Oryzias latipes: one gene and its partner. The protein of the gene in region 2 purifies or fractionates together with the protein of the main gene of each other region. This does not show direct contact. Links are inferred from orthologs where the notes say so. Each region holds a gene or a part of one and is shown on either strand. Other genes may lie near its edges. The genes, in order: bbs7 and lztfl1.

Region 1 (4,265 bases), on a different chromosome or scaffold from region 2:
TGTGAATTCAGAATAGTTGAGAGGCTGACAGTGTTGTAAGGTTCAGGAAAACGTCTCTACTAACCTGTATAAGTGGCAGTGACAACCTCATCATAAGACTCTTTCCCCACACAGCCTCCCTGGATGGAGGTCACACTCTCAGACAAAACCTGTGACCAGGAAGGAAACGTTTCCGCTTTAGCCCTCAGGTCATGAAATGCTGATCAGGATAAATAGCTTTTTCAAACAATAACAGGACTTTTAAACACCAAAACAACAACTACAAACAAAAGTTCTGTTAAAGACAAATATAAGAAATTTAAAATGAATTCATCATTTTGCTTTGACAACCTGCTCAACAACTAAAGTTATGGATTTATGTTTCGCAAATAAATGTAACTTTTTTGTTTTTTTTTATTTATTTGAAATGCTTTATTTCAAGCAATCAAGGAATAATGCACAAAACAATACAATAAGCATTCATACAAAGACGTATCAAACTTAGGATAATAGATAATAGATATTAAATCAAAGATTGCTTGAAAGGGAGGAAAGGAAGCGAACAACTGAATTGAAATAGCTTCAGGTTTAAAAACAAAAGGATGCAGTTTTGGCAGAATGGATTTGTTGACAGAGATTAACTGTTAATTAGAATGAAGGAAGATGAATAAAACAACAAAGACTCCTGATAGAAACCTACATGCTCAAAGCGTAAGGTGGGCTCATTGGAACTGTCAAAGCCATAAACCTGCACCGTCCCATCATCTCTGCCCACCAGGATGTCATTCACGCCGTCTCCAACGATGTCGTACGCGTCGGCGCAGAGAATCCCTGACAGGAGACAAACGCCGTTTGCTGCTGAACTACACTTAGAAATGAGTCTGATACTCAAGCAGCTTCTATGAAAACGTGATTGAAAATATTTGATCATCCAAAAGCGAGTTACCCCCTTTTTTATTGTCATTATCAATTTCCCACTTGGCCACAGCGGAGTGCTCGCCAATCTGGACAAGTCCAAGTCTTCCATCTGTAGTTCCATAAAGGACCTCCTCCCCTGAGAAAAGATGGATGGAATGCCAAAGCTGGTGTAAAAAGAGCAGATCGAAGCCATAATATTCTTTGGATACTCAGCTGAAAAACAAATGGACTAGCCTGCATCTTTATTGTACAGTTCCAGGACTGATGGAGGACCGGGGACTTCAATGTCATAGGCAAGTGTGGAGCCCTTCAGTCACATGCAGATAAAATGATAGAAAGTAAACTATATGGAACTGACTGAAGGTCATGCACTTCCTGAAATGAAAAGATAAAGAAATAAAAGCTCAACTGACCTGCAAGACTCTCAGAACTCGATCTTGACATGCCAAGACCGGCGTGAGGTGAGGGAGCTTTTCCGAGGACACACAAGTGATATCATTGATTTTGTCTCCAGACAGGAAGTAGTCCTGATCCTTGCAGTCACAGTAGTGATTGTAAATGTAACTTGCACACACAAAAAGGTCAGCACCTGAGACATACCTGGAAGACAAACACCACTCAAGGGGAAAGCTCACAATTCTCCATCACTTCTCCGAACAACTCACTCAACTAGAGCAAACAATAATAATGATGAGAGAAGTTTTAGAGCGCGTCTCACATGGCGTTGATGCTTTCAGTAAGATTGGCTTCAAAGGTGAGAAATTGTTTGCCTTTCTTGGTGAATCCTCGAACCTGAGAGCCGGAGCAGACAAAGATCTTCTCCCGAGGAGTCCCAAGAGCACCTCCAAGGTCCATCCTACAGATCTTCTGGCCCGGGAGTGTTTTAAACACAGGCTGAAATGAGAGTCTCTTTACTGACAGCAGGAGAAGTGAATGATGAGTCAGTAAAACCTAAACCCACCACTGCCTCCCCCTTCTTCATCCCAAAACATGTCAGAATCCCATCGTGATCAGCAATGGCAACCTGCAACACAAAAATCCTTCATTGGGGAACATTGCAGATCATTAGTGAAGATGTTACTAAAATTGTATCAAAGTCAGCAAACTGTTTTCCAACCGGAAGAGAGCATCTCAAAGGAGACCAGAGGGCTGTGGCTATGCAGGCTTTAAACAGCTGTTTTTCTGCATTCAACTTGATGTTTTTATGCAACTTAGTTGGAAAGAAATTGAACAAAATGATTTTCTTATTGCTTTTGTTGTGAATGTCTTGTTTTATAGCTTGCTTCAGTTTAAAATGTTCAAACAATTAAAAAAAAAACTTAAAGCACGAAAAGGAGATTCTTGAGATTAGTAAGGAGACTCCAAAAGAACAGAAAAGAACGGCACAAACTCTACCTTTTGAGTTGCCTTTTTCCCCAAAGCTGGAAGAAGTCTCATAGATTTTTGAGATGTCACTCCAACCTGAAGGGGAACGATGGAGCAGTGATGGTTTGAATTAACTTCAACTATCACCAGCTCCAAATGCAGACGTCCACATTAAAGTAATATAACAAGACGAAAAGTACAAATAAATACAATTTAAATGTGTCGTGTTACCTGAACATAATCGACTCTGTTAAGGTGGATCTCCATCTTCAGCCTTCACCTCGTCCTCACTTTGTCGGGGAATAACAGAAAAATCCGGCGACTCTTTGGTTTTGACCAGATTACGGGGTGCTGTTTATATCCGACTATGATTATGTTCGCTTACAATTGGTAAAAGAAAATCTAGATAAGGTTAAATTACAGGACGAAACCGGTGCAAATTAGGACTGAGATTATCTGAAAGCAGGGGATTATGCAGATGCGCTAACGCTAGCTAGCAAGCTAATCGGCTAACACGATTAATTCACGGCCAGCTGTCCTTTTTTTTAAAGATGACGTCATCGTTTTTAAAAGAATGTAAAGGTGGACATCCGTTACGCGCTGAGCAACACGGTTTGGATATGAATGCAGAGCAGAAGAGTTACCGTGTAACATTGATTTTGCCAAATAAACTGTGTAGCCTCGGTGATGTTGCCCATGGCAACGACGCTACAGTCTGTAAAATACGATCCAATTGGATAAAGGCTAAGAAGGAAATTGATGAATCTGAAAGCTGATTGGCTGCTGGGACTGTGGCCTTGTGTCCGAATTAGACAAATGCTTAAAAAAAAACTTTATTCATACAAATCCGGCATTATAATTTACAATAAATAAACGTAACAGCAACTTTGAGTAAAAAGGTTTACAATCCAGAAAATTAATGTTGTCATGTATGTTACACATCTGATTGCCTTTGTTCAGAAATAATGTAAATCTGTTTTCAGTAGGATTTTTGAAAAGAGTTGTTTTTATTTATTATTTGGTTTGCAAAAGTCTTAGAAAATGTGGAATAAAATGATTTTAATCAATTTCACAAATAAAAACAGAAAAATTATCCGCTTTTAGGATCTCCTTTTGTAAAAATAAAAAAAGGGGGTAGATAGAAAAGACTTTTCCCTTTTTGATTTTGGATAACCCAAATGTGTTCCAGCTTAAAAGATTGTTGTATTGTGTGGGAAAAAATAAGCCTATTTTACAGCAGGAATGGGTTTTTCTTTCATCCGTTAGATCTGGGCCGATGGTCACTTGCAGCCCTGACCAAGGAATATCACCACAAACAAAAACGTGAATTTTCTTTATATTTCTTCTGATTTATTAAAGAGATAACTTCATTTTTGTTATACAAAAATGTGGCATGACTGTAGGCAAAAAGCACATTTAACAGGTTTAAAAAAAGTAGGCTTGCGGAGGAGAGCTAGGAACGTTCATAAATGAAAGGAGGTCAAGTTTTCCATCTAAAAAACATTCAAACAAACATGGCATGCTTTGTCAAAATCATTTTAAATACGCATCCTAAACCAAACGGTTGAGCGGGTTCAATTATTCTAAAAAATACAGCAAATTTTATTCAGCTAAAAGCTTTTTTTTTAAAAAACATTAGCCAAGCATGTTTTGTATCAATGGAAATCACTTGAAGTCAAGCATTAAAACAAACAAAAACAAGATTTATCATGTATACATACATACTCAAGTAGTTCAGACTGTTAATGTTTTATTATAAAATAAACCATTTCTTTGAATAAATAGTGAACAGCTGATATTTTGACATTGCCGTCTGTAGCAAGAAGATGAAAATCAAAACCTCCCCAAAGGACTTCAGAGCATTGGAGGCTGATCTCTGACTGCACCGTCACACAGAAAAAGACTGAATGTGATCCTCAAAACACAAGCTCCTTCCACTGATGGCATCGTCTGCCCAGTTCCACAGCAAACAACAAACCAGGACAGAAAAAAGCAACAGTAAA
Region 2 (4,467 bases):
GGTTTTCTATAGTTAAGTAGACAAACGGGAGGATTTTTGGTGGTAAAAACTCACTAAACAGTCTTCTGCTGGCGTCACATGACTCTTTCCAATGTGAGGAACTTCCTAACATGTGGTTTTTGTGTAAAATAACAATTAACATCTGCAAAAGAACCCCAACAAAGCTCCAGCTCATGTTACACAATCCTTACAATTTTATTTCAATTTGTTCTCAAAATTCACAGATTTTTCTTCCAAAGTGACTCACCTAAAATAAGACTAAAACCAAACCTTTGTTGTGATTTATAAATCGTTTTTAAGCAGAATCCAGGTCTGGGGCAAACTGATGCGTGATGTTCCTGCGTTTTTGTAGCTTCCCAGCGGCGACCGGTTTACCTGACAAAGAAAACGTCCCCTGAAGATCTGAATCTAAATGATATTACAGTGAGGACGGGAGCTACAACATAAAACGGGAAGAGTTAGATGCTTTTGCTCTGCATTTTTTTCACAAATGGAAACTTTCAAACGATTGCAACCAGCATTCCTGAACATTTTGAGATTTTACTAAATGTCAAAAGAATGAAAAGAGAGTTTTCAATCACACAAATCCTTGTTTTTTTGTTGTTGTTTTTTTACCCACAGACTCAGATAGCACAAAAGTTTTGATTGGGAATTTTAAAATCTAAAAAACTTTATTGCAAAATATTAGCTAATTTAGAATTTCTTGTCAGTCTTAAAATAGCAACTCCTAGTTTGGTCATTGAGGTTATGAACTTTTTGGGGGTTTTGGTTTCATTCCTGCCTGATCTAGACTTCCTGCTTCTGCATTATGGTCAGTTTTGATGCATTTTCTTCCTGAAATTTGGCTTGAAAAAAGCTGTTCTTGAAAACTTTCATGTTAATCCTCCTCCCCCCCCCCCCCTCCATAGCATGAGAAACACTGTGAAGGTCCAACAAGAATTCGGACTCATGGGACTACAAAATGGGACACGTCTTTGGCATTTTGGGGCTGGGATTTCTGGAAGCATTTCTTGATCATTTGAGAATGTCAGAAGTCAGAACTCTGACACTACACCTCCCAGCAACCCCAGCGTGCACTTCCTGGATGCCGCACACCTGACTCTCGTTCACTCAATCAATCACAGCATACTTAAGCACAGCACTGAGCTCAGTGTTAAGTATTGTCTGTGCAATGCCGTCCGTCCGTCCGTCCGTCCGTCCGTCCGTCCGTCCGTCCGTCCGTCCGTCCGTCCGTCCGTCCGTCCGTCCGTCCGTCCGTCCGTCCGTCCGTCCGTCCGTCCCACGCGGTTTGCTTGCCCCAACTCTCGTCTGGATCCTGACTGCCCTGTCTCTCCTCTGATGATCTCATGCCTTTTATTGGCTCCTGCCTACCTGACCCAGATTTAACTTTGTGGACTCTTAGCTGGGCTCATAAACCTGCTGCATTTGGATCCAACCGTCTGCCTGTTCTTGTGACAGTTGCTGACACAAGCTTAAGTTTCTTTTGTCGTTTATTTGTTACCCCATCTGAATTATTTTAAACCTGTATTGGACATGATATTAAAATACATGTTCAGTGTAAAATTTCTCAGTTTAAAGGTTTTTCAATGGATCTTTGTGCTGTTGTGAGCAAAATACTAGTTTGTGGTTTGAATGTCTTATAGTTTTCATTCTATTTAAACACTCAAATGTAAAAAAAAAAAAAAAAAAAAAAAAACCTCCCAGATTTTCTGGAGTTGGAGTTGCAGTACATATTGAAGCATCCTTTAGATTTTAAAAAATGAGAGTACAGCTTCTGTGTAGCTCACCTATTTTCCAGCTCAGAAATGTCAGTCTGGAGTCGAAGGTAAAACTTCTCAGCCTGTGAGAAGAGCTGCCTCAGCAGCAGCACGTTGGTATGAGCGGAGTTGATGAGCTCCACCTCCACCTCCCCGCGCACCACCACCTGCAGCCCGTCCAGCATCTCCTTCACCTCGTCCACTGTGAAGGTTTCTTCTACCAGCCTTCAGGGGGACAGAAGCATTTACAGCTGTTGAGCTCTGCGGCTTTAGGAGGAAGCAACTTGTGTCATCAGGGTCAGAAACGTCATCAAAGAATCGATTTATCAACAATTCAGTGTCTTAAATCTGTCTGAGGCAAGTTATGAATCTAATCGACCGTACATGTGATCATACTGTTAGCGTGGTAGAATGCTCTAATGTGTAAAATATCAGGGGGCTGAACTTTATGAAACTAAAATATGAATAGAATTGTTAACTTGTTTGTTTGAACACCAATTTAATTTACACTTGATTGTCTTGGAAGAAATACAAGGAATCTAGAAAAAATCACCTGCGCTGTTCAATACCCAGGTATTTATCTCAAAAGGCTAGAGATGTCCTAGAACGATTTTAAGGTCATCGAATCGGACCGTTCAAACGCAGATCTGAATCAAATCATTGCTAAAATGGATCAGAAACACTTTAGTCACCTGCTTTCTTTGAGGTCCTCGAAACAAGAGTCGATAGTCTTCAGCCTCAGGACCCTCTTAGAACGAGCAAACCTCATGTAATTGATCATTTCATTCTGATGGTGCTCATTAAATCCCAAGTCAGCCTGGAAAGAAAATCACAATCAATCAAAGTAATAAATATACTCCAATAAAGACACATCCGAAGGCAACAGATGTCATAACATTCATAATTAGCTTATAAGCTAACAAGAAGCGGATTTTCTCCTGTATCAGGGCCTGAGTCTCCCTGCTAGCTCTTCATTGAGATGCATGCTAACAGACAGTCAGTAGCTTCCCACTAAACTCCACATGATCGCAGCTCTAACATCGAAAGACGTTTGAGATTCTGGGCTTGAAAACGCAAACAGGTGGTCAACACTTACCATGGTGGCTGCAGCTAATGCTAACGTCAATACTAATCTAAACGATGGGGAAATTTTGATCCGAATTTGAGCTACGATGAAATCAAAGTGAAGCCAGGCGGGATAGAAAATGCAGTTGTTGTTTTTCTGTGTATTTGTTTTGGAAACAAGCTAAACAAAAGTTATACAAGAAGAAAAGATTATCTTCTAGATCTGTTAGCTTAGCTTTCTAGCTACCAGTGTTTGCCTTAAGAATGCCTTGGTAACGGAATACAGCGTCATCACCTTGGTTACGACTGATGCATTCACGGACAGTATGTGCAGAAGAGAGAATCAGCAAAGCAGCTACAAATTCCATCCGACCATTTTCTAGTCTGGTACAGGGTCACGGAGATTCATTCAGTCATACCCCAGCTACTTCTGGGTTAAGGTAAGGTTTTCCCCGGACTGTAATTGGAAAGAGTGCCCGGGGAAAAAAACGCATACACAAAGAAGACGCAAACCCCAAACACAGAAAACACACAACGGGGATTTGAAACTACAAAATCCCCACATACTTTATGTAAAAACAGCACGAATTTCTTCTTCTTACTTTAATTACTAAAAGGGCGAAACATGTTCTTCCATTATTACCGCTGAATGTCATTTCTTTTGAGTTCCTTTTTTGTGAATTTTGGTTTGTCCGCCCGTCTTTGAATGCGTCATTTTCACCAGGGGTTGGCTTAGAAAGGCGGGTTTCCCCTTTCAAAAATGTTTTTTATTGTACTGTATTTTTAAATAAATTATTAAATAAAAAGACAGGACAAAAAACACATCTCAAAAATATATTTAAGACAAAATTATTTACATTTACTTTGCAAAGGAAAAGATCAATAAGAAAGGTACAATGAATGAAGAATAACACACAACATTGATAGAAGTGTGGTTTCTGTAAGTAGCCCTAAACATTTACAGATGTGTGTTTTTAACCTTTAGGCTTTTTCAACTGAAGATTTTTTCCAAATATTTCTGAAGTTCCATTTTAAGTAAGTGTTCAGTCTTTTTTGCTTTTGTAATATTAAATTTTGTCCAAAATAAAAACGTATAATATATAGTCAACATTTTTACGTTGTTATTTATAAATATTAAAAACACACAACAAAAAATAAAGATGACATGGTTTCAAATTGATTCATTCATGTGTGTGCTATACAACAGCAGATGGCAGTGTGGCCCAAGAAAAACAAATTGTTTAAAACATGTTAGTTTTTGAAAAGACATGTCCAGGATTCATACAGTTTAAGCATTAAGACATTGAGAAACATTGAGTAATTCTCCAATATTCGTCCCAGCACCGCTCTTCCATTAAAGTTCCATTCATCTTGTTGATTTAGGAAAATTCCGATTACTTATGGCAACACTTTTCTGCATTTTGGTCTAGATTTAAGGATGTTTATTACTCCAATTCTTGCTTTCTAAGTTGAATACCTATTGAGACTCATTGCAGATTTGTGGGTTGAACCACTTAACATCATGTGAGTCAAATCAAGTCTTAACAGAGAACCTGTGAGGCAGCCTTCTCATCCTCGGTCTCTGCAGCCCCGAATCCTTTACGTTCTGTCCAGTTAGTGGAGAGTTCAAGCAGGAAAAGAGGAG

The links.
Region 1: the proteins of lztfl1 (region 2) and bbs7 purify together in Homo sapiens (affinity purification with mass spectrometry; 3 studies listed by BioGRID and IntAct, counting the BioPlex papers as one, with this or other methods). This does not show direct contact. The link is inferred for Oryzias latipes from reciprocal best matches to the Homo sapiens genes LZTFL1 and BBS7.

The regions. Positions count from the first base shown.
Region 1 is NC_019868.2:201,098-205,362, reverse strand, and holds the start of bbs7 (Bardet-Biedl syndrome 7 protein), read right to left. Parts: upstream 2,987-4,265; 5' UTR 2,530-2,986; coding exon 2,494-2,529; intron 2,359-2,493; coding exon 2,293-2,358; intron 1,922-2,292; coding exon 1,859-1,921; intron 1,792-1,858; coding exon 1,616-1,791; intron 1,498-1,615; coding exon 1,311-1,497; intron 1,205-1,310; coding exon 1,132-1,204; intron 1,034-1,131; coding exon 926-1,033; intron 811-925; coding exon 680-810; intron 150-679; coding exon 65-149; intron 1-64.
Region 2 is NC_019878.2:21,516,129-21,520,595, reverse strand, and holds the start of lztfl1 (leucine zipper transcription factor-like protein 1), read right to left. Parts: upstream 3,111-4,467; 5' UTR 2,857-3,110; coding exon 2,854-2,856; intron 2,575-2,853; coding exon 2,450-2,574; intron 1,983-2,449; coding exon 1,788-1,982; intron 1-1,787. UniProt on the Homo sapiens protein: Regulates ciliary localization of the BBSome complex. Together with the BBSome complex, controls SMO ciliary trafficking and contributes to the sonic hedgehog (SHH) pathway regulation. May play a role in neurite outgrowth. May have tumor suppressor function.